Linked DNA regions of Oryctolagus cuniculus. The protein of the gene in region 2 interacts with the protein of the main gene of each other region in a pairwise test. Links are inferred from orthologs where the notes say so. Each region holds a gene or a part of one and is shown on either strand. Other genes may lie near its edges. The genes, in order: PDLIM7, ENKD1, CEP70, BEGAIN, CDR2 and PNMA2.

Evidence for each region.
Region 1: the proteins of ENKD1 (region 2) and PDLIM7 interact in binary tests that used the Homo sapiens proteins (3 or more experiments, as listed by UniProt). The two-hybrid records come from large-scale screens. The link is inferred for Oryctolagus cuniculus from reciprocal best matches to the Homo sapiens genes ENKD1 and PDLIM7.
Region 3: the proteins of ENKD1 (region 2) and CEP70 interact in binary tests that used the Homo sapiens proteins (3 or more experiments, as listed by UniProt). The link is inferred for Oryctolagus cuniculus from reciprocal best matches to the Homo sapiens genes ENKD1 and CEP70.
Region 4: the proteins of ENKD1 (region 2) and BEGAIN interact in binary tests that used the Homo sapiens proteins (3 or more experiments, as listed by UniProt). The two-hybrid records come from large-scale screens. The link is inferred for Oryctolagus cuniculus from reciprocal best matches to the Homo sapiens genes ENKD1 and BEGAIN.
Region 5: the proteins of ENKD1 (region 2) and CDR2 interact in binary tests that used the Homo sapiens proteins (3 or more experiments, as listed by UniProt). The two-hybrid records come from large-scale screens. The link is inferred for Oryctolagus cuniculus from reciprocal best matches to the Homo sapiens genes ENKD1 and CDR2.
Region 6: the proteins of ENKD1 (region 2) and PNMA2 interact in binary tests that used the Homo sapiens proteins (3 or more experiments, as listed by UniProt). The two-hybrid records come from large-scale screens. The link is inferred for Oryctolagus cuniculus from reciprocal best matches to the Homo sapiens genes ENKD1 and PNMA2.

What each region holds. Positions count from the first base shown.
Region 1 is NC_091437.1:63,482,581-63,486,080, forward strand, and holds part of PDLIM7 (PDZ and LIM domain protein 7), read right to left. Parts: exon of another isoform or gene 3,328-3,500; intron 3,011-3,327; coding exon 2,949-3,010; intron 2,799-2,948; coding exon 2,561-2,798; intron 1,696-2,560; coding exon 1,515-1,695; intron 1-1,514. UniProt on the Homo sapiens protein: May function as a scaffold on which the coordinated assembly of proteins can occur. May play a role as an adapter that, via its PDZ domain, localizes LIM-binding proteins to actin filaments of both skeletal muscle and nonmuscle tissues.
Region 2 is NC_091449.1:50,907,477-50,911,430, forward strand, and holds the start of ENKD1 (enkurin domain-containing protein 1), read right to left. Parts: upstream 2,801-3,954; 5' UTR 2,700-2,800; intron 2,552-2,699; 5' UTR 2,537-2,551; coding exon 2,452-2,536; intron 2,361-2,451; coding exon 2,193-2,360; intron 1,790-2,192; coding exon 1,617-1,789; intron 1-1,616. Other genes in the region: C18H16orf86 (uncharacterized protein C16orf86 homolog), read left to right, coding at 3,037-3,132, 3,330-3,538, 3,903-3,954. UniProt on the Homo sapiens protein: Microtubule-binding protein which regulates microtubule organization and stability. Promotes the stability of astral microtubules and facilitates the proper orientation of the mitotic spindle.
Region 3 is NC_091435.1:143,186,611-143,190,704, reverse strand, and holds the start of CEP70 (centrosomal protein of 70 kDa), read right to left. Parts: upstream 2,801-4,094; 5' UTR 2,570-2,800; exon of another isoform or gene 1,638-2,569; intron 309-1,637; 5' UTR 248-308; coding exon 206-247; intron 1-205.
Region 4 is NC_091451.1:44,202,508-44,206,517, reverse strand, and holds the start of BEGAIN (brain-enriched guanylate kinase-associated protein), read left to right. Parts: upstream 1-1,210; 5' UTR 1,211-1,929; coding exon 1,930-2,571; intron 2,572-4,010. UniProt on the Homo sapiens protein: May sustain the structure of the postsynaptic density (PSD).
Region 5 is NC_091450.1:16,908,403-16,911,902, reverse strand, and holds part of CDR2 (cerebellar degeneration-related protein 2), read right to left. Parts: intron 2,107-3,500; coding exon 1,958-2,106; intron 1,700-1,957; coding exon 1,535-1,699; intron 1-1,534.
Region 6 is NC_091433.1:47,729,160-47,733,303, reverse strand, and holds the start of PNMA2 (paraneoplastic antigen Ma2), read right to left. Parts: upstream 2,801-4,144; 5' UTR 2,703-2,800; intron 1-2,702. Other genes in the region: DPYSL2 (dihydropyrimidinase-related protein 2), read left to right, coding at 3,132-3,485.

The DNA.
Region 1 (3,500 bases), on a different chromosome or scaffold from region 2:
CCCTCCCTTCGTGTGCACTCTGTCTTGTCCATGTGACCCGAGCAAGGGGCCCAGCCAGGTCAGCTCTTGATGTCCAAGTCCAAGTTCAAGTCCAAGTCTGAAGCTGGGACAGGCTGAGCTCTGTCAGCCTCCACAGGAGGAAAAAGATCTTGGATCACCGGTGTTTGAGCCCTGCGTTGCTGGCTTTGCTACTCACCAGTCCTGTGCAGATAAAGCCCCTTAGTTATCTCCCAGTCGTGCACTAGAGGAGCAGGTGTTGTGGATCAGCCTCCAACACCTTTCACAGGGGCCCTCGTTACGGCACAGTGGGCTAAGCCACCACCTGCGATGCTGGTACACCATGTTGAGTGCCAGTTTGAGTCCTGGCTGCCCCTTCTTCCATTCCAGCTCCCTGCTAATGCACTTGGGAAGATGTTGGATGATGGCTCAAGTGCTTGGGCCCCTGCCACCCATGTGGGAGACCAGGATGGAGCTCCTGGCTCCTGCCTGGCACAGCCCTGGCTCTTGTTGCCCTTTGAGGAGTTACATCAGTGGATGAAAGATTCTCTCTCTAATAGATGATCTTAAAAAAAAAAGATAATGATAAAAGAAACTTTTCACAAACCCCTTCCCTGCTGCCTTCCTCCCTTCCTGAGGGTGGAGGCTCACCCCGATCCCTTGGCCCTCTGGCCCAGGGCAGTCCTAGGGTAACAGCTCCAGACTCCAGTTTTTCTTCCAAAGGCAGTACCTCATTAAAGGAACACCAGTTGCTCTCCCCACTTCCTGCCTGGGATGAGAATGTCGGTCTCGACCTTGAGCTGCTAGAATGATTGACTTGAACAAAGTTCTCTACATGCTAAGGATTTCAGACAAAAAGGTGGGGAAAACAGGTTCCTAGAGGCCTCCCTGGGATTCTCCTCCCTGAGCTAATAACCCTGTCCAAGTCTCGGCAGTGGAGCCTTCTGTCACCGCAGCCAAATGCAACCCAACTGCTCCCCGCAGCAGCTTCCGGCCTGTCCGGCTCTTCCTTCTTAGGTCATGTTCTCCTGGCTTGATTTTAGGGACCCACTCCTCCCTCATTCTCTATCTGGGGTTCACCCTCAGCTCCAGGGATGGGCATAACGCAGGCCTGGCCAATCAGAGTCCCAGGGCTTGGTTCAGGTGCTGTCTTTCAGTCTGTGGTGCTAATTAAGCTGGGGCGGTGTCACCCATGGGGACACTGTGGCACCATCTTTGCTGCCTTCCAGGAGAGGAAGTGAACGCAGATGAAAACAAGAGACAGAGTCCTCTGACACTGGTGTCCAGATTCAGCCAGGTCTGAAGCTGGCGCCCTGGGCTTTGCAGGGATTTGTCTGAGCCAGGAGGATTTTGGTCATTTGTTAAGAAGATTCTAGCTAATGTCAAGGGCGGCCACTTCTTAGGCCGTTAAGAAGCCAAAGGGCTCACAGAGGCTCAGGCTGCTCACCATTTTTTCCACACCAACAGGTGTGCTTTCCTTCCTAGCCCACCCCTGCCCGCCCACCAGCCCCACTCACGCCTGTAATCTTCTTCTTGCACTTGGCACAGCTGGGAGCATAGCGCACGTCGTAGCACGGCGGGCAGAAGATAGCACCCTTTTCCTCAAAGAAGCCGCCCTCTTCCAGGACCTTCCCACACTGGCTGCACACAAACTCCTCGGGGTGGTACGCATGGCCCAGCGCCACCAGGTAGCGGCCCCTGAGGGGGAGGGCAGGGCAGTGAGAGGCAGTGTGGGACGAGAACGCGCCCCACGGGCTTACTGGTCACCCACTGGAAGCACCAGGTAGCAAACCTCATTTTCCCCATTTCCCAACTAGGACAGCAAAGACAAGCACCGGAAGTGGCCTGCCCCAGGTCCCACGGCAAGGCGGGACGAAGCGTGAAGGGACCAGCTCTGTGGTTGCCCTGTGCTGACTGATGACAGAAGAGACCTGGGTGCGGCTGATGACCTGAGCCTAAGGAGACCACCCTGAGGAGCTGGTGCCCTGGGAGCGGAAAGCCCGGAGGGCCAAGCAATAACATGGGCAGACACCCCCGTGCCCACCCTGTCCGGCCTGCCTGCCCACCTTGGCCTGCTGGTCCCAACTAAACATGTGTTTGAAAGGCAAAGCGCTTTGCGGAGTCTCTGCCTACAAGCTGATGGGAGTCAAGAGCAGGCCAGGGCTGAGAAGAAGGAAGGTTCTAGAATCTGGTACACTGACTGGCCATGCGCTCTGAGGGCAGAGGTGAGCCGCCACTGAACGAGCAGGAAGGAGAGACAGGTGGCTGCCTCGCTGGCCCTTCTCTGCCAGGACAGCAGTGAGCTTTGGGACCACACTGGCACCTGCGGTCACGTCCCCAGATGCGGCTGGCTAGTGGCTGATGCCAGTGAGGTGTGTGTGTGGGATATGGACTGCGGGACTGAGAACCTGAGGAGCCAGGACAGGTCCCTCCCCCACTCCCCCTGGGAACTAGAATCTTATCTTGCTCCCGTGGCTGCTGAAGCCAGAAGAGTGGGCAGCTGGGCCAGGATCAGGCTTTGGGACAGGAAAGGTCAAGGCAGGAGAGGAACAGGGTCACCCACCGGATGACCTTGTGGCACTGGTGGCACACAGGAGTCTTGCCATTGCTGCCACCGCCCCCTCCGGTGCCCCCTCCAGCAGCAGCCTGCACGATGGAGGTGCGGTTCTGCAGAGGCGTGGGCGTGGCCGGTTGGCTGTGCCGGGTCAGCACCGTGCTTGTTTTGTCCGGGGCGTAGCGCTCAGCAAATGCAGGGTCCACGGCCCAGGGTGGGCGGCTGGTAGCGCTGGGGGTGGTAGGGCCTGCCAAGGCCAAGGAAAGTGGCTCCACAGAGGTGCCCGGGGACCCCTTAGGACAGGGGGTGAAGCCTGGGGCAGGTGAGAAGAGCCCACCACCCCCACAACCCCAGGGGCTACCCACCCTTCCCCAGGCCCAAGCCCATTCTCTCTCACCAGGCCAGGGTTCCTGGGGTGTAGTTGAGGCTGGGGCAGGGATTTCTGTCCTGGGCACCTGGCTGTAAGATCTGCCATTCAAAGCCCCGCCTAGCCAAAGCTCCTGTCACGGCCCCACCCCCACCCTGGGTCCTGCTGGCTCCACAGGAGATGCCTGGGTGCGTGAGAGCTACTGGGCTGGATCCAGGTCCCTCTGGGGCAGGGCTGGGAGGGGCAGCGTCTCCCAGCCAGGTTCCAGCCAGCTGGTCTGTGGTCCAGGGCGGGGAGGCAGAGCAGGGCTCCCACTTCCCTTCAGCCCCAAGAGCCAGCTCTGAACCGCCCCCCACCCCCCTGCCCCCGTGCCCACCAGCCCCACAAAGATGGAGGTCAGAGGCAGAGGAAGCAGGGCTGAGAGCGTTTATTTCCACACCCAGGGCAGTGCAGACCTGACAGACAGCAGGGCTGCAGGGCAAAGAGGGAAGGCAGTGCCAGACGGAGCCGGACCTGTGCTGGGCAGGCTGCCGGGGCCAGGCCAGCGGCAGGAGAGGGATGGGCGGGGTAGGCAAAGCTGGA
Region 2 (3,954 bases):
ATCCTACCATGATACCCCTGCCCTACCCTTCCACTGTCCTCAAAGTAAGCGTTTGAAAAGTGTCTTCGGGGTGGGCATTTGGCACAGCAGTGAAGACCCTGCCTGTGGGGTGGCCATGGTGGTGTAGTGGGTTAAGCTGCCGCTTGAGATGTCGGCATCCCATATCAGACTGCCAGCTGAAGTCCTGGTTGCTCACTTCCAGTCCAGCTCCCTGCTGTTGCACCCTGAGAGCCAGCAGATGATGGCTCAAGGGCTTGGGACCCTGCCTTCTACTAGGGAAACCCAGATGGAGTTCCAGGTTCCTGGCTTCTGCCTGGCCCAGTCCCAGCCACAGGATGGAAGCTCCCTTTGTTTCTGTCTCTATATCTCAATCTGCCTTTCAAGTAAATGAAAATAAGCAGTCATTTTTGAAAATACCATAATCATTAAAAAAGGGCATTGCTTAGGATGCCTGCATCCCCTATCAGAGTGCCTGGGTTCCAGTCTGGGCTCCACTTTTCATTCCAGGTTCCTGCTAATATACATCCTGGGGTGTGTGTGGGGTTGTGTGTGTGTATGTTTGTGTATGTGTGTGTGTGTAGCAGGTGATGGTCAAGTACTTGAGTCCCTGCCACCCATATGGGATTCAGTTCTGGTTTCCTGGCTTCAGCCTGGCCCAGCCTCAGCTGTTGCAGGCATTTGTGGAGTGAACCAATGGATGGAGGATCTAGCATTCTCTGTCAAATAAATCCAATTTTTCCAGAAAGTGGCTTAGACAGTTAAGACCCCATGTTCCACATCAGAGTGCCTAGGTTCCATCCCCAGCTCTGGCTGCTGACCCCAGCTTCCTGCTAATGCAGACACTGGGAGGCAGTGGTGATGGCTCCTGGCCTGGCCACTGTGGGCATTCGGAGAGTGACCCAGCACATGGGAGCGCTCTGGTTCTCGGAAAGGAGGAGGAAGGAAGAAGTGGAGAAAGAGAGCAAGGGAGGGGAGGAGGGAGAAAAAAAGGGAAGCGGCTTGGGGGTCCTTTATGACGTAGCTCCGGCTGACTTCCTGGCCTAACCTCATGCTTTTCCCCTCTCCCAGTGGGAGCCACACTGCTAGCAGAGAACCTGGCACCTTCACTGCCTGCTCCCGCTGGTCTCCGGACTCCCGCCTGTGAGGTTCCATCTCTGTGGCATGTTCTTTATTTTTTTTTCTTTTAATTACACTTTGCTTTTTTTTTCTTTTCCTTTCCTGAGGCAGAGAGACGGAGCTCCCATTGCCTGGTTCACTCCCCAGGTGCCTGTAATGACTGAGGCTGGGCACCAGGAGTGCGACCCACGTCCCTCAGGTGGAGCAGCCTTCACCACTGCCTCCCTGGGGTCAAAGAGCCGCAGCTGGGGACGGAACCCAGCACCCACCCTGATGTGGAATACAGGCTTCCGAACCAGCGTTTGCACCACTAGGCCACACGCCCGCCCTCTTTCTGGAATATTCTATACTACTCTCCCCTTGCCCAATCCCTACTTGCCATTCATGACCAGCATAGCCATGACCACTTCTGAGAAGTGACCCCAGCCCCACGCCATGACAGCATCAGGTGCCTCCCTCCCCACAGTGCAGGCCAGGGTTCGGCTCCTTGGGGCGGGTACCTGCAGCTGGGCCTTGACTCGAGACTCCACCTTGTCATACTTGGGTGAGCGCCACAGAGCCTTCAGCGGCTGGGGCTGGCCCTGCTCCCGGCCGTGGCCCTGCTCCCGGAAGCGTCTCTGGATCTCCTTGATCCGCCTCAGGTTCTCCTTCTCATGGTCTTTAGGGTCCTTCCCTGGGGGAAAGGTGCTCCCAGGCTCTGCCCTGACCAGCTCCCTGCCCGCCCTCTCCAGAAAGATCTCCCGGTTTCTGTGTCTGCCAGACGCTGTCTACACACCAGACCTCCCCTCGCTCCCCTGCCTGCATGTAAATCTCCCCTCGTTATTTTCTGTATTTTTTCAGTAAATACCCTGGATCGCCTCATGTCTTCACTTACTGCCTCCCACCTTGCCTACGACCCTGCTTTCCTGGCACCCACAAGGCCTGCCACACAGGAAACACGTTTTGATGCATGAATTAATGAGGTTCCCTCCCGCGGGAAACTGACGCTCAAGAGAGGCAAAGCCTGGGCCCAGGTCAGGGAAGGGACAGCCGCTTTTGATTTCCAACTGCCTCACTGCCCCTTCTGCCGGACTTACTCTTGGGCGAGACCCGCGGACTGAGGGAGATGCCCTCGAGCTGCAGCAGCACGCCCCCTACGCCTCGCCAGCCACGCTCCAAGATCTCTCGGCCTCCGGGCCTGATGCGGGGCCCGCGGGGTGGGGTGGCGTCCGGCTTCAGCGCGTTTCCTTCGAGGCGGCCCTGGGCTGAGGGGCGGGACAGGGCCGAGTGCGGAGCTCAGCGGTGGAGCGGCAGGCGATCCCGGGCCTTGCCCCCTCCGCAGCACCCCCGACTCACCTGAGGCCGGCCGCCGGTAGTAGTCTGGGCAGAGCGTGGGGTCTGGGGGGATGGGCCCCGAGATGCGGGACGGGCCCTCGCACATGCTGTCCTCGACGCCCTGCAACGGTGCACCGAGGCCTGCCAGGCTGTGCACCTCCCGCCCGGGACTCCCTTCCCCAGCCCTGCGCCTCCTCCCTCCACCTAGACCCAGACCATGGCAGTGCCCCCCATTCCCGGCCCCCTTCGTCTCCCGCCCCGCCGCTAACCCACGTCCCTTCGGGGTTCGCGGCCTCTTCCCGGTAACCCCCGAGCCCGGCTCACTCTAGCAGTTTTGCCGCCAGCTGCAGCACCGCGAAGGGAGTTGCTGTTGCCAGGCAACGAATGGCTTCCGTCCCTGAGGTCAGGGGCAGTGACCCTGGCGCAAGGCCTTCTGGGGCTTGTAGTTCCAGCCGAGGGCAGGTGGGGCGACCACCAATTTCCCTTCGCAGCTCGCTTCCCAGCCAGTCTCTGTGGTCAGCTCAGGGCCCACCAGTGCAGCCCCTCATGGCTCGTCTCCCTTCTCTCCGTAGGTAACCGGCGAGGACGCGTTGACCCCGCGCAGCCATGGCCTCGGCAGGGGCGGAGAGGCCGCCAGGAGCCCAGGAAGGGGTGGCCGTGGGGCCGGCACAGCTCGTGAAGGCACCCAGTGGCCGCTCTGAGGTGATGGCCAAGGCTGTGAAGCCTTCACACCCTGGCCGTGCCACACTGGGGGACCGGACTCCGGATGACCAAGCTGGGGCTGGGCATGGGCTGGTGCCCTCCACCCCGTGTTTGGTGGCTAATGCTGGGCACCAGCTGACTTATGGCTATAGACTCTACCTAACCATGGTGACCAGTTGCCTATGTGTCACTTCTAGTGCCCAGTGATGGAAGCTCAGTGCCTGGAGCCAGCCTACGAGGCCTGCAGGACCCCAGGTGCAGACAGGTGTCCAAGAGGACATGCCTCAGAGCCAGAGCTCCAGGAACGAGCGCTCAAGCCGCAGGTGGAAGCACCAGAGGAGAAAGGCCCCAGGCCTATGGCCTCCCCCATGAGGCCTGGTCATGGGCCCAAGAGGAAGCCAGTCAAGTGAGGAGGCTTCCAGGGAGAGAGCCGCAGGGCTGAGGCGTGGGGCTCACACCCTAGTGGGGTTCTAGGTCCTGCTCTCCTGTAGAGCAGATTCTTGTCTCCTCCCACTACCAGTGCCCTCAACCCTTTCTGCTTCCTGCTGTGGGGAGCACCACGGGAGATGAGGACTTGGCTCACATGAGCTCTGGGCCCCGGTTGGGCCTGGGGCCTCACTGACCAGGAAAGGGACAGGTAACCAGCCCTGGGGTGGTGGGTAGGCAGGGCTCTTCCCTAGGCCTAGGGCCTGGGGGCTGGCTTGGCAGGCCCCTTGTCCCTGGCTGCAGTCCCCCAGCCTCCCCAGCTCTAGTCTCCATGCCCATCCTAGGGTTGAAGCTGAGCTGTCACCAGGGCTACTGCTGCAGAGGGAGGAGTCGGAG
Region 3 (4,094 bases), on a different chromosome or scaffold from region 2:
CGAGGCAGGACAGGGGTTAGGAGAGTCCAGGACAGCTAATCATCTAAGCAGTTACTTGGCCTGAGTTTAAAATATGTACCTGATAGGATTATCAGGAGTCAAAAGGAAGTATACCCAATGTGTTTAGTATAGTATTTAGTACACATCAGGTCCATGTTTCCCACGGCCTCCTAACATCTAGAATCACCGGTTGCGGCAGACATACCTCAGCCATAGCTCTTTCCTCCTGCACGTCACACCTGCTCATCCAAGATGATCTTAATGAAACGATCGGCCAGTGAGTCTCATGTGCGAAACTAGATCTTCATCTAGGGTTCAAAAAGATTAACGGATCAACCTCTTGGAAAGTTCAACCTCTTAGTGAGAAAGGTCTTGTGTTACTCCCAGCGCAGCGTCCATGGTGCCGGAAAGCCCTAAGCTGAAACTCCAACAGCCACAGTAAGCGCTGATGGCCTTCCTGGCTCACCATCATAAGCCTCCTCCCTCCTCTTCTCCCTTGTGGGTGATCCTGTGCCTGGCTGGAAGACTGCCTGCCTACCCCAAGCAGGAGGTTAGGAGGGCATGGCACACCATGCCTCCCGGGCACATTTCCCTGACCCCTGCTCCCAGGTGAAGGACCTTGTAAAGGGTCAAATAGGTAAACAACTCCTGGGTGTGCCCCAGACCCATAAGGACCACCTGGTAGGCTACTAGGCTATGTGACCTTCAAGCTGATTGGAGAAGCATAGTGGCGCCAATATCAGATCTATCCTATAGTGTTGCCCTGAATTAGCTACGCCCCCTCTGCCTGCCCTTTAAAAGCTTATGCTTCATCGTTAATAGACATGTTCACAGAAACTGGTCTTGAGTGCGTCTTGTCAAGAGCACCGTCACCAGTGCGGGCCTTGCAGGATCAGCCTACACCAGTCTGTGAAATAAACGTGGTGATAGTTTGCAGCAGCCTTTTCCCCACTGCAGGCTGTTAGAGGAGAAAAGTCCAGAACGCTGAAAGTCACAGAAGAGACTAAACTCTCCCTGGGGCAGAAGCGAGGCTGTAGCTCTACTCAGTGTCACAACACAACTAAAGGCAGGCTGTAGGAGTAAGGTTTGGGGGCTGAGAGTTGGTTTGCACTTGGCATACAGACAAGCAGGGGACAGGCATTTGGCTCAGCAGTTACCATACCTGCATCCCACAGCAGAGTGCCCAGGTTCACGTGCTGGCTTTCCTACCTATGCCAGCTTCTTGCTAGCACACACACACTGGGAGGCAGCAGGTTCTAGCTCAAGTATCAGGTCCCTGGTACGCAAGCAGAACACCTGAACTGAGTACCTGACTCCCAGCCCCAAGTGTTGCGAATATTTGGGAGTGAACCGGCTGATGAAAACTGTTTCTCTGCCTTTCAAATAAATAAAGTGAAAATAAATTAAAAAAAAACCATTAAAAAAATAGCCAAACACAGAAAAGCAAAAACACAGTTGTATCTTCCAGCACTGTCCAGGTTTCCCAACAATCTTTTGGGTCAAATGGTCCCTTATAATATAGCCTAACATGCATCAAACCTTAAAAAACTTATTTTTCTCGCCATTTGGGGGGCGGGGGGAAGAGAGCTGGAAATAACAGATCATGGCCAGTAATTTCTTTCTCAAGTGAGTCATACCGAAAATCTATAAACTTTCTCCGAAGGACGTATTCCAAATCACTCCAACAAATGAACACGCACGGCTTTCCAAGTCTGTGTTCTCCATGAAATGCAAACTAGTCCGAAGATAGGCCAACGTTCCAAAGGACGAACTGAATCCACCACCATTGGGCCCGGACGTCACCTCAACCAAACCATCCTGTGCCGGCGAGGTTACAAGGAGGGCCAGAACACCCTCCTCCCCCGCTCTGAAGCAACCCCGTCAGTGAAACTCCAAATCAGCCGCCTCGTACCCAAAAAGCGGAGCGGAGGCGGCCTGCTCTGCTTGGCAATACTCAAAGTAAAAACAAAAACAAATGCACGCAGAGGGCTGAGACCAACACGGGCAGTGGCTGCACGGCGTCAAACATTATGATGAGAAACCCTTGCTGACTGGTCTGTTACAAGCGTTACTGTTACAAGTGCCTCAGCTCGGGGGATTTTTCACCCTTTAAGAATCACATGAGGCTCCACGTGAAGTCAGAATCCCCTGCGCACCCCGGATCCAGAATGCGCCCGACAACCGGAGAAGGCGGGCTACGCGCCTCCGTGTGTCCCCGGCACCCTCCGCCGACACCTGCCCCACTCCGGGACGCCGAGGGCCGCGGCGGTCAGCGCCCGTCCGCCCTTCGCCGACTCGGCCAGGGTCTAGTCTGATCTAGCCGGGTCCGAGTCTGAGCTCCGCACTGCCTGCCTCGTCTAGCCCCCACAGCCGCCCTGGAAGGCAGCAGACTGCACACAGGAGCAAACGGAGACGCCGAAGACCACAAAGGCTGGGGGGCCGGGGCTCGAAGCAGGTTTAACCAATCCCCAAACCCTCACACAGCCTGCTGGAGCCGGTCCCAGCCCGCTCCACCCGGGGCGCCCGGCAACGCTCGGCGCCCACAGGCCGAGTCCCGAGCGCCACTCACCTTCCTCGGCCGCCCGGCCCGGCCCGGCCCGGCCCTGCCTGGCTCCGCTCCACCGCCTCCGGCCCCGCCTCCGCGACCGTTACCGACGCCAGTGGAGGTTGGCCAATCGAGCCCGAGCGGGTCGAGGTCAAACCTCTGCTCTGCCTCGGAACTTTCTGAGCGATTATCTCCGGCCTCTCGAGGAGGCTGGGTCCGCCGCGCGCCCCCTGGTTGGCTCCGGCTGCTGGGGGCGGGGCTTACCACCACCGCGGGCTGTCATAGGCCCGCTGACGTTTCAGTCGCGCTCTACGGCCTCTCGCTGGCTGGGGCTCTCGCTTACGGAGGGCCTCGGTTCCCCAGGAGATTTCAGATATGCAAATATGTGGCCGCAGGTGAAAATGAGGCTCGGAGCACCTGGCCACTGCGCAGGACCCTCGCCAGGACCGCGAGCTCCTGCTGGGGGAGCAGCCGGCGTGTCGAAGCTCCGGACCTGGGGGAGCCTCGGAGCGGCTGGCGTTTCACCCTCCCTTTGGGCGTTTTCCCGGTGGCCACGAAGTGTCTGGCCCTACATCGGGCTCCGTAAAATGCAGAGATGTGGACGCTGAGGGACAACGGTGGTTTTCCAGGGCCCTGTAGAGACTGGGTCTTGGGCTGCGTAGCATCTGGCAATCAGGGCTCACACTTGGTTTTCCAGTCAGTGTGGCCGTGGGATCCCAGGTGTCTCGTGGCTTTGTGGCGGGATTTTTGTGTGATTTCGCCCCCCCCTCTTTTTTTAATGGAAGCTATTCCTGCGCTGCAGTAAACTTTCTGAAGCCTCAGGCTTGTGTTTGAACCATCAGAAAGGTCTCCAGCTAGAAACACTAGTTCCGGCTTGCCCCTTCTCCCTGTCATTCTCCTTGGAATCCCAGGGCCAAAATTTGGAGATGTCTTGAGTTCTTCTGTTCATGGTGTTTATTCACGGTGACCAATCGACTTCCTTGCCAGACTTTTTTTTTTTTTTTTTTTTTTTTTTTACAGGCAGAGTGGACAGTGAGACAGAGAGAAAGGTCTTCCTTTGCCGTTGGTTCACCCTCCAATGGCCGCCGTGGCCGGCGCACCGCGCTGATCCAATGGCAGGAGCCAGGTACTTATCCTGGTCTCCCATGGGGTGCAGGGCCCAAGCACTTGGGCCATCCTCCACTGCACTCCCTGGCCACAGCAGAGAGCTGGCCTGGAAGAGGGGCAACCGGGACAGAATCCGGCGCCCCGACCTGGACTAGAACCCGCTGTGCTGGCGCTGCAAGGCGGAGGATTAGCCTAGTGAGCCGTGGCGTCGGCCCCCTTGCCAGACTTTTAAAAAAGAAAATCACCTGGGGAGCTTGGGAAACTCCGGATGCAGGGGCCGCCAGACAATCACACCAGGATCTCCAGGTGGGGACCCAGGCATCCAGAGTTTGTAAAGCTCCCCAGGTGATTCCGATGTGCAAGTGTTGTACCGATTCCCACCAGTGAAGACCACCAGGAGCCGACACTCATGCAAACGCAAGAGTTTAATTTCAAACTCAAG
Region 4 (4,010 bases), on a different chromosome or scaffold from region 2:
TGTCTGCAGCCGCGGAAAGTCAGGGAGAGGCTCGGAGGACCGGCTGGCCAGGCCCCCGGCTCCTGTGACCACGGCTGCCGTGGCCAAGGGCCAGCCGCCTTGTGAGTGCGTGTTGGGGTGAAGCAGATGGATCTCACAGCACCCCTCCAGGCCCCAGGCTGGGCACTGCCGTGGCTCCGCTAGCTGGGGGACGAAGGGCCTAGCGGGGTGTCTGCGAGGGCAGTCCAACTGGGGCCCGCCAGCCTCCAAGCCTCTCCCCCCCAGTGATGGGGGAGGGGCTGAGGGCAGCTGCGGAGGAGGGCGTGTCCAGGTGCCGAGGGGGCGGGCGCTGTGGCCTTCCCAGAGCCTACATCTTCCCCTGTGCCCTTGCTCCGGGGCTGGAGTGGGGGCAGGGTGCCTGTGGGCCCACGGCCTGAAACTGTCATGCGGTTCACCCCATTCATTCATTCCTCCGGGGCTGCGTCCTGAGCCCTGAGGCGCTCCGGGCCCCTGCAGGGAGCAAGCAGGGACTGTAGACTTGGTGGCATGCCAGGGCTGCGGCGGGGGCCCCTGGGCTGATCCGGCACGGGCCCTCGGGGTGCAGAGCAAGGGCCGCGAGCGCAGGCGGGCTCAGCACCCTCGGGAGTGTTGCTGGGAGCCCCCTGGGGGCGGGGATCACGGAGCCTCCCCCGGGCCGGGACTCCCCAAGATGGTGCTGGCCGTGCCTGTGGGATGGCATCCGGGGTACCAGGGTGAACGCAGGCGTCCAGGTGAGACACGGGGGGACCCCGGGGCCAGCAAGGTGCTGGAAGGGAGGGAGGGAGGCGGTCAGGTCTGAGGGCGGCCTGGTGGTCGGGTGGGGCCGGGGTCTCCACGGCTCCCGCTCCTGGACTTCTGCATACCTGCAGTCCGGGGTGTCCAGGGGACCCAGCGAGGGGTCCAGCCGAGCCCAGAGAAGCAGGGCTCTCAGACACTCGTGGGCAGTGTCCTGGCAGGCGCAGGTGCACAGCCACGCTCAGCGGACCCCTCGTGGGCGGGCCTTGCTGGCCCTTCCCTGGGCTAATGCCCCCATCCCACCCCTGTCTAACCACACCCCGAGCTCTGTCCCAGTGTCGCCTGCTCCTCCCAGGGCCTGGCATATGACTGCTAGCCACAAGGGCCAGAAATAACCTTGGCCTAATCAGGGCAGGATGGAGGTAAAGACGTCCTAGGGCAGGTGGTTCGCGCTGCTGCGATGACTCAGCGGTCGTGAGGGATCTGGATTCCTTGTGTCTTTCTGCTCTTCTGTCCTTTATGCTCTTCTATGGCTTCTGTCACAAGTTTGCCTCATGGAGCAGCATGGCTGCCACAGCTCCAAAGTCACCTCCATGCGCCCGAGAAGAAGCAGAAAGATGGGGGATGGGAGTCAAAAGGGCACTGGGCAAGCTGCCTGATGCCTTAGCAGTCACATCCAACCACTGTTTACATCTCATTGGCCACCCCCTTGCTGCAAAGGAACCTGGGAATTGCAGTCTTGGGCACCCCCGAAGAAAACGAGGAGGTTTGGATCAGATGGGAGCGCAGTAGGCTGCCAGCGTCTCAGCTGCCTGCTCCCATCCTGCTGATTGACAGCTGCCTCTCCGTGCCCAGCACGGCAGCGAGCAGGTGAGGCCCACTGCAGAGCCCAGCGAGGCCGCTGCCTCCCCGGGGCCGAGCCGGGCGCGACCTTCTCAGCTCCAAGGCTGCGCAAGCCCCGAAGCTGAGCTCCCGTTGCGGCGGGATCGATGCCGGGGTGGGCGGCTGCCAGGCCCTCCCACGTGCCCCCGGGATCGATGTGACCGTCCCAGCCAGTGAGGGACAGGTGGCCCCACTCCCAGAGGACGCTCAGATCCCAGCACCACGGAGGGAGGAAGAGGAGTGGGCTCAGCGAGGGGCTCTTGGACACCCGTGACCTTGGCCTGACCAAGGAGGATGCCCTCAGGGGCCAGCTCCCAGGCCCGGGGCCCTGACCCCGCCGGCGGCGCCAGACGGGACGGCCTTGGCTCCCCCGTGAAGCCCAGGACGGAAGCCCCGCTCAAGGCAGCCCGCGGGGACCTTCACAGCCGCAAGCCGAGCCCCAGCCCCGGCCGGAACCCGGAGGACAAGGCGGCTCACCCTCGCTGGGCGGCACGGCCTGGCCGGGAGGGGCCCCGGGGGTCACCCGGCCTGCCCCCCGCCTCCGAGCCCCCCTGTGCAGGCGGCAGGGCTGCCGCGGGCCCCTTGGCACGCCTGGGCCGCCGGCGGGAGGCCAGGTTGCCCTTCTCCAGGTTCCTGGATGAGGTCACGGTGCGGGTGCTGGACCCCGGGACCCTGGAGGCCTTTAGGGGGCCAAGAGGCCGCAGCCAAGAGCCCTCCCCAGCGGACCAGGGCTCTGGCCTGGCGCAGGAGCCCCCGGTGGGGGCTGCCACTCCAGAGGAGACGCACCCAGCCCTGAGCGCCCGGCTCAGCTCAGAGGCGGCTGCTGAGGCTGCGAGGGGAGGGGAGCCGGGCGGGGCCCTGGAGACCAGGGGGCCCTGCGCCGCCGAGGGGAAGCGCGGAGGCCACGCTACCTGCCCCTGGAGGCAGCTGGGCCAGGTGAGTCTCGGCCGGCTGGGCGCCCTCCTCACCCCGCACGTTCACACCCCGCCATGGCATCTGTGCTGGCTCTGGGCTGGGCGGAGTGCACCTGGGTGAACGCTAAGGCTCCTCTCAGCCCCGCCCACTGGCAGAGCCCCCCCCCCCCCCCCCCCCGCTTGCGCATGATGAGCCTGGAAGCACTGGCGCCCCAGGCAGCGGCACAGGAGGCGGGTGGCGCACTAGGGTCCTTCCCGGCTGTCTCCACTTTACGTAGGGGAAGCTGAGTCTCGGGTCAGGGCTGGAGCTTAAGCCTGCTGGGCGTGCACACGCGCACACAGTGCTCGGGCTGATGGGCGGGCGGCTGGCGTGGGGTCTGGAGAGCAGGGATACATGGGCGCAGCTGCGCTGAGCATCAGGGCCCAGGAACCTGCCCAGGATACCCCCGGACCCCTTCAGTGCTGACCCTCTGTGACCCCTGGGGCCAGGGAGGGTCCTCCCAGGCTACCGAGGACGGCGCCCCTACCCTCCTGCCCCCCCGCTTGTGGCCAGGGCCCGGATGGAGGCCGCAGGGCTGGAGGCAGGGGTCCGCCCAGCGCCTCCCAGCGCGGCTCCCTTGTGCAGGGTCTGCTCTGCCAACCAGTCCTGGCGGGGGGCTGAGGCCCGCTGGGCGCTCCGGGAGCTGCTCTAAGCTCCTGCCCCCAGCCTTGCCGCAGCCCCGAGGCACACGCTGTCCCCAGGGCACAGGGGAGCGGATTGAGCGGTCGAGTCGAGGAACCAGGACTGGGCACAGCCAGTCTTAAGCCACCCCCTCAGCGTCCGCCGCCCCCATGACTGCTCTGTCCGGGGAGGGGTCTTACTGGAGGGGGTCTGGCCACTCCCCGCTGCGTGGCCAGCTGGGCTGGGGGTCCGGGCGCGTTGTCTCTCTCTGGGGGGCAGTGGCTGCTATGTGGCTCTGCACGGACTTCAGTTCCCGCAGTGGTGAGAAGGCAGGGGCGAGCGCGCCGTTACTGTGCCACGCCCCCAGCCCTGCACAGGGGCTGCCAGTATGTGAGCCCACCTGCACACCGCGAAGCCCTTCTCTGGGGACCACGAGGCCCCGGGGAGTCCCAGTGACGCCCAGGCCCCCCTGGGGGGGGGTCTCTGCAAGGCTGCTTGCGCAGCCAGGCAGCACGGGGCCTGCTGGTGCCCGGCCACGCTGTCGAGGGGTGGGACTGCACCCTGCGACCTGCCACAGGCGTCCCTCCCAGGGAGCTGGGCCCCCTGAGGCTCCGGGAGTGACTGCCTGGTGCCCCTCCCCGGCCCGCCCCGCCCCCAGGGTGCACAGGCCCCGGGCTGGAGCCAGCCTAGGACAGCGAGGATGGATGTTCCGTCAGACCGGGAACTGAGGCTAGCAGGGTCCTGGCTGGGCCGTGGCTGGCTCGGGGCCCTGGGCGGGTCACACCCCCCAGTGTCTCCAC
Region 5 (3,500 bases), on a different chromosome or scaffold from region 2:
GGAGAGGGGAGAGGGAGAGAGGGAGGGAGAGGTCTTCCATCCGCTGGTTCACTTCCTAAATGGCCGCAACGGCTGCAGCTGAGCTGATCTGAAGCCAGGTACCTGGAGCCCCTTCCAGGTCTCCCACATGGGTGCAGGGGCCAAGGACTTGGACCATCTTCCACTGTTTTCCCAGGCCATACCAGAGAGCTAGATGGGAAGTGGAGCAGCCAGAACTTAAACTGGTGCCCATGAGATGCCAACACTGAAGACAGTGGCTTTACCAGCTACACCACGGTGCCAGTACTCCCCTCCCTCTTTTTTTTTTTTTTTTAAACATTAAAAGTAGCACAGAGCATCTATTCCTAAGAACCAACAGCAAGGCAGCCACCTCAGAAGGAAATGGCGCAGTGGTCCTCAGTCTCGGCTGCAGATCAGAATCACAGGGCAGCCTTAAAAAATACCGATGCCTGTGTCCTACCCCATCAACTCTGACCTACTTGCCTGGTACCTGGTGTTGAGTTTTTAAAGTAGGGCAGGTGTTAAAGAACAGCAATTCCGTGTTAGAGCACCCATCCAAGTCCTGGCTCCTTCAATCCCCATCCAGTTCTGCTAATGCCTCTGGGAAGGTAGTGGAAGATGACCAAAGTACTTGGGTCCCTGTCTCCCATGTTGGGGACCGGGGCTCCTGGCTTCAGCCTAGCTGCAACTGTCGCGGCCACTAGTGAGTGAACCAGTGGGTGGAAAATCTGCCACCTCATGTCACTCTTTCAAATAAATAAATCATCAAATAAGCAAACAACAACAACAAAACAACTATTGAAGTGATTGCTAACATGCAGCTAAGGTTGGGAACCATTGCTGAAGTGATTTCTAACCAGGAATGAACAGGAGAATCGCTGGGGTAGTTTCTGACCCACACCTAGAAAATCGGATTTAGGCCCGGGGAATGCATTGCTGTTTGCATTCTGAAACACTACACCAGTGATCTGGGTACAGCCAAGGTTGAGAAGCATCAAATGACCCAGTTGGTCTCTCTTCTGTTTAGGTCTAGTCATTATCACTTATCTGCCTCTATTAGACTGAAAAACTCAAGAGGGCAGGAACTACATCTATTTTGGTCACCATTCTTCATGTCTGGCACAGCACCACCTAGGAACAGGGGGTAACTAAACAGTGCTTAAGGATTCAAACTCATAGCTCTGAATTATAAAGAGATTTCTTTAGGAAAAAACCTTCTGTTTGTCTAGAATTTTGTTTCACTGCAATTTCTTTTTGTCTTCACTTTAATGTGAGACACAACCCCTAAAACTGTGGTCTATCAGAAGAACTTACTTTAAGATTTAACATTTGTTAAAAATACTGAAATAAATGCTCTCAAGACTTTCAAAAATGAGATTCCACAGAATTAACTTACTAACACCCAGGAACTCTGGGATTTGTAGGCTTAAGTTCAAGCCACTAGTGGTCTAAGTACGACTCTTGCGAAAATGGTACTTTAATGACCCAGAGGCCCAGCTGTGTCAGTTACTCAGTCATTCCCTGTAGCTCTTACTGGCGGAGGTCATACAGCTCCTTCAGACAGGCAAAGCTGGGCGCCGACTTCTCCCGGTCACTTCTCCCCTGGCTCCTCCTCCCTTGGCCAGACGACTTCAGCTCCTCCACTTGGCTCTGAAGGTGATCGATGTTGGTTTGTAGGCACTCGATTGTTTCCGTCAGGCTGTGAGGAATACACAGAAGCCAATTTCTCCTTGTCATATTAAATTAAAGGTGAAAGCAGTGAGGAGAGATTAGCTGCTAGCCACTCAAACTGGCTTTTCTTAACTGAGAGAACTCCCTTGAATTTAGTCTCTGCTCTCCAAAAGAACTACATGAAGCCTTACCCCACACTGACCGACACTCACTACTGTTACCTTCTAGTTGTTTCTAATAAATGCCCCTTACAGCTCCCTCAACAGATTCCAGAAAATGCATTTACCTCAGGATCTTCTGCTGTGAGGCCTTGCTGTCAGCAACCAGCTTTTGATTAGTTTCTTCCAGCTCCCTTGCTGTGACATCTAACTGCTCATAAACCTTTGCGTGCTGCTCATTCATTTGCCGTAGAAGCTCCACCTGCTTGGTCAGATACTGTAAGGGAAGATGATTGAGAACCAGGTGTCACACAGCCAATACCTGCAGTGTTCAACATTCCCTGCTTCTCTGACACCCACTCATGCAGGTGCGGGGGCAGGCACAGGGCTGCCACCTCGGGGCTCAGCATGCTCCTACCCAGAGGTTCCCTTGGCCTCATCTCAGGCATGGTTGACTGCATCATCGGCCACGTGGCAACTAAATCTAGCCCTTCTCTCCTGCCCAGAGGCTGATGGTTCTAACCCTCTAGTCCTGTGGATGGCTCATGCTGCAAAATCTAAGGCAGAACGAGGGACAGATATATATATATCCACATATATATCTTGTTAAACCACAGTTTATTTTACAAAAAGAACCATAAACCCCAATTAAACTATCTGTCTTCATGGGATTCGAGAATAGGCTAAGCCTTTATAATGCTTAAATCCCTCAGCATTGTCGCTCCCCCTCTTCGTGGAGGAACGACACAGGACCCTGCGCTGTTCTTTTGTCTGCTCGGCCCTCCCCGGGTTTGCTGCTGGTTCTTCCCGGGTTGGCTACTGTCCCTTCCACCTCCGTGGAAGGGCAGTTCCCCCTGGCTGCTTTCCCCACTTCCGCAGGGGAGCAGCACACCGCCGGCCGGCTCTCTCGGGGGCTGCACAGGTGTTCCCCTTAGGTGTTCCCCTTAGATGTTCCTGGTGCATGCCGTCTCTCTCCTCCTTTATAGTCCTCCTCTGCCAATCCCAACTCGGCTGCCCACACGCCGAGTACGCTGCTCTCCTCCAATCAGGAGCAAGTCCTACAGTTTATTGGTTGAACTGGAGGCAGCTGTGTAGAAGCTGTTTTCTTCTCTCCCAGCGCCATATTGTGGGAGAGCAGGTGCATAGAATAAGTCTTAATTCCAGTAACAGTCTAGTCCGAGCTGCTCCCCACAGATCCCCCTTTCTTTTTATTTTTTGGCGTTGATACGCGCCTGTCTTCGGTGTCCCGCGGCACACACTCTGCTCTACTTGCTAGAGTTGCCACAGGTTCTTACAAGTCCTATCAATCAGGCAAACCGAATCCGGGTCCTCTCTTCGCCATGTTGTGAGGAGGTTTTTAGGCGCTGATACGTGCCTGTCTTCGGTGACCTGCGGCTCATACTCTGGTCGAGCCGCCTGCTGGTGCTTACTGCCTTACTAATCAGGCAGACCGAATCCAAGCTCTCTCATTGCCATGTTGAGGGGAGGCTTTATTTTTCTCTATATCTCCGGGCATTCCTATCTCTCCCATTTTACGTCTGTCTACCAACATTCCTTTTTCTTTTATTTTACTTCTAAAACTTCTGTTTCTCTTATCCCTGCGGCTTCCCGGCGCCCGCCCCGAGGCTGCTTCTCGGCGGCTTCCCGGCTGAGCTGCTTCAGCCCGCTTCT
Region 6 (4,144 bases), on a different chromosome or scaffold from region 2:
TTTTTTTTTGTGCTATGAATAAGTTCTTTTTAATAGAAAACTTTTATTTAATAAATATAAATTTCAAAAGTACAACTTTTATATGATAGTGATTCTTCCCACCACACCCAGCTTCCCACCCGCAAACCATCCCATTTCCTTCTCCCTCTCCCACCCCATTCTTCATGAAGATTCATTTTTAATTTTTAATTATCTTTATATACCGAAGATCAACTCTATCCTAAGTAAAGATTTCAACAGTTTGCACCCACACAGACACACAAAGTGTAAAGTACTGTTTGAAGACTAGTTTTACTGTTAATTCGCATAGTACAACACATTAAAGATAGAGGTCCTACATGGGGAGTAAGTGCACAGTGACTCCTGTTGTTAACAATTGACACTCTTATTTATGACGTCAGTAGTCACCCAAGGCTCTTGTCATCAGGAGCTGCCAAGGCTATGGAAGCCTCTTAAGTTCGCCAACTCTGATCTTATTTAGACAAGGCCATAATCAAAGTGGAAGTTCTCTCCTCCCTTCAGGGAAAGGTACCTCCTTCTTTGACGGCCCATTCTTTCCGCTGGGATCTCACTCACAGAGATCTTTTACTTAGGTCATTTTTTGCCACAGTGTCTTGGCTTTCCATGCCTGAGATACTCTCATAGGCTTTTTAGCCAGATATGAACACCTTTAGGGCTGATAAGAGTAAGTTATTAACACAACACTTTCTTCCCAGCGTTGAACTTGGGGAGGCAAGAGTTCCTAATGCCCTCAGTCACGTGCGGCTTAGTGGTGAAGATTTGTTCAGAGAAAGGCACTGTGATCTGGACCTTGGGTGAACACCACTGAGTGACTGACACAAACCAGGATGGTCATGATGATACACTCTTGGGGAGACCACCACTGTTGCTTGTGGACTGCGATCATCAGCACTGGGGAGGGTGTGTCAGGGAGCTAAGATCATTTCCTCTTTGGCCTGAAAACTTCCATCAGCCGTCCAGATGCCACAGAAGTCACCTGCAGCTATACCAGCGGCAGACATACCGCGTCCATCTGGAAGGTGCCAGGGAAGTCTGCGCTGAGCAGCTCCGGGGGCTGGAGACTCCTGGCTCTTCCATGATGAACTTCTCCCTTCTACACCATGGGGCTGGCCTTCCTGCCCCTTGGAGGAAAGGCTTTGAACGCTCAGAAAGCAACACCTCTAAGACCCACGTAGCTGTCACCTTGGGACCACTCTCTCAAGTGCCATCCCTCCTTGCCCCTCAATTAGAAAGATGGCGAGGGCAATGCATTTAACGTGGAATAGGGCCCCAGATGGAAACCCCTGGATGTGGAAAAAATGTCCGACTCTTGAGTTTTTTCACATTTCAGGGAACCACACCCGCAGTTGGAGCCGGAAGACCCCCCCCCCACACTGTTATTACTGGGTCATTTCACTAGATTTGGGCAGCATGCCTCCAATCTCCCTGAATTTCAGTTTCCTAACCTGGAAAGCCCTGGTGATAAAACCCGTCCTCTCCCAGGACTGCGGTGAGTAGGAAATGATGTAACTCAGAGAGAAGCGCTTTATTCAAATGCAAAGCACATCTGGTGCGGGGATTCAAAATGCCTGCCTGGCTCCTCGGCCCCTCCCACTTGGCGGAGACGCCGTCCCCACAGACTGACTGGTTCTCCTCCAAACTTTATTCAGCCGACCGACCGGGCCTCGCCCTGTGGGGAAGCGTGGTTTAATTTCATCCTTCTGGGGGTGCGGGCTGAGTCTTCGGTCACCGGGCCCGTGGTCTGCTGCCTCTCTCAGCGCCGACCTCCCTCAGCACACTGCTAAAGGAGGGGCTGAAACGGGGGAAGGCCGTGGAGACGAGCATGGCAGGGCCAGCCTCATCCACACGAATCGCCATGCGCCCCGGAGAGCCGCGCCGCCGGCGCCGCGGTCCGCACCTGGTCTCCGCGGGGCGCCGCACAGATCGAGGCACCTCCTCCGCCCGCCGCTCTGGCGCACTGCGCCAACAGGGGCGAGGGGAGGGGGCACAGACACAGTGCCCGGATGCGGGAGCAGGCTGAAGGCTTAGGGAGTGGCCCTCACCCCGCTTCTCCCCCACCTTTTTTTTTTTTTTTTTTTGGCGGGGGAGATGGAAGATACCAAATCTTGGCGCAGAGGCGGCATGGCGGCCCTCAGGCAATACAGCGACTCTGCAACCTCTCTCTGCAGATTCCGCTGGGCTGGCACGTGCAGGCTGCAGTCTTGCCTACGCTCACACAAACCGTCCACCTGCGTCTCGCTACGCTACCCCGTCTTCCACTTTGCAACGCCCCTGCGCTTTACTCCCGGCCTTGTTGCGCCTCCGCACCCTCCACCACGTGCAACCTGCGAGAACCTTCTCGCGGGTCTCTGCTTCCTGCCGCCCCCCTCGGCGTCGGTGCACGGCAGTACTAGCGTCGGCGAGCCTGGGGGGTCCCCCGGTGCGGTCGGCGCCGCCTGCGCCACACCTTTCCCACTCCTACTGCCACCCTCTCCGCCACGCCTTCCCTGTGACAATCCCGGTGCCTAAATAAGCTGGTCGCCCCTTCCCCCTCCACCAGCTCCCACCCGGGTAAAACGGAGCGGGGCGGGGGGGAGAGTTCTGCGGCCTCGCCCCCGACCCACTCCGCAATGTGGCGGGGGAGCGGGGCGCCGGGGCTGCGCCCATGGGTCCTCTCCGCGCGTGCTCGGCCTGCTACTTACGGTGGCGCCGAGAGCGGCGAGCGCGCCCTGCGCTCCGCATCCATTAGCCGGGGGTCTGGCCGCTTCACTTCCGGAGCGCGGGGCTCCGCGAGGCGCCGCCCTCCCCCCCCCCCCCCGCCCGGGTCCCGCGCGCGCCCCGCCCCGCCCCACGTTGCCGGGAACCGGCCGCGTCTCGGCTCCGGCTGCCGCAGCGGCGGCCCTCCCAGACTCAACTTTGCCGCTAGCTTGCGCGGGGGGCGTGGGCAGGGAGGGGAGAGAGCGGGGTCAGGGGGCGGGGCCGGGAGGGTGGGTCGCCCGCTCGCCAGCCCGCCTTCCTTTCTGTGCACCTTGCGGTGGGCAGAGAGCGGCAGCGCGGTCTGTGCACGCGGAGAGGGAGCCTGAAGGACCAGCGCACGCACGCACGGACGGGACCCTCCCCAGCCCCGCGCCATGGCCGAGAGGAAGCAGTCCGGGAAGGCGGCAGAGGACGAAGAGGTCCCTGCCTTTTTTAAAAATCTGGGCTCGGGCAGCCCCAAGCCGCGGCAGAAATTCTGTGGCATGTTCTGCCCGGTGGAAGGGTCCTCGGAGAACAAGACCATCGACTTCGATTCGCTGTCGGTGGGCCGGGGCTCGGGGCAGGTGGTGGCCCAGCAGCGGGACGTCGCCCACTTGGGCCCGGACCCTCAGACGCCGTACTCGCGGCAGGGCCGGCGCGCCGGCGGGGAGCCATCTGTTGAATCCGGCAGGAAGGTGGAGATACGGCGGGCCTCGGGCAAGGAAGCCCTACAGAACATCTACGACCAGGTGGGTGTGTGCGGGGAGGTAAGTGGGTGCGGGCGCTCGGGCGCCAGCTCGCCCCTCGCCCCTGCAGCCTGGGCGCCTGCCTTCGTGCCCTGCCGCGACCGCGGCCTCTCCGCCTCCGCACGCGCACCCCACCCTGCCCGCCCCTTCTGCGCGCAGGGCGCGGCGGTGGGCGGCCGTGCGCCCACAAAGGCTGCTCGCGCTTCCCCGGGCTCGGGGGTTGGGAAGTGGATGGGCGTCAGGGACTGGCCGATCGGGGTCTGGGAGGAGAGGGGGTCGCCCTGGGAGAGGGGTGGGCCGCGGTTCCATTCTTCTTAAGTCCTCCCGGGCCGGCGGCTTCGGGTTGCAGTTGTGGCTGGGAGCCCCACCCTTTTTTTGATGCAGCTCGGAGCGTGCGGTGGAGGTTGGCGTGGAGGCCCGCGGGCTCCCGGGGGGTCGGGAGGGGCGAGGGCTCGGACCGCCGCTCGGCGCCGCACCTGCTCCGGCGCCCTCTCCGCCCAGGTCCCGAGCTCGGAGGTCAGGACCATGGCCAGCGCCTCCCTGGCCCGCCTGGCAGCATCACCACGCTTGGTTCCTGTTTGCCTGGAGAGAAGAGTGAGGAGGCCGTGGAATCCCCCGGTGGAAACCAAACCGCTGCTAAATAGTCCGTGAGGAGAACAAAG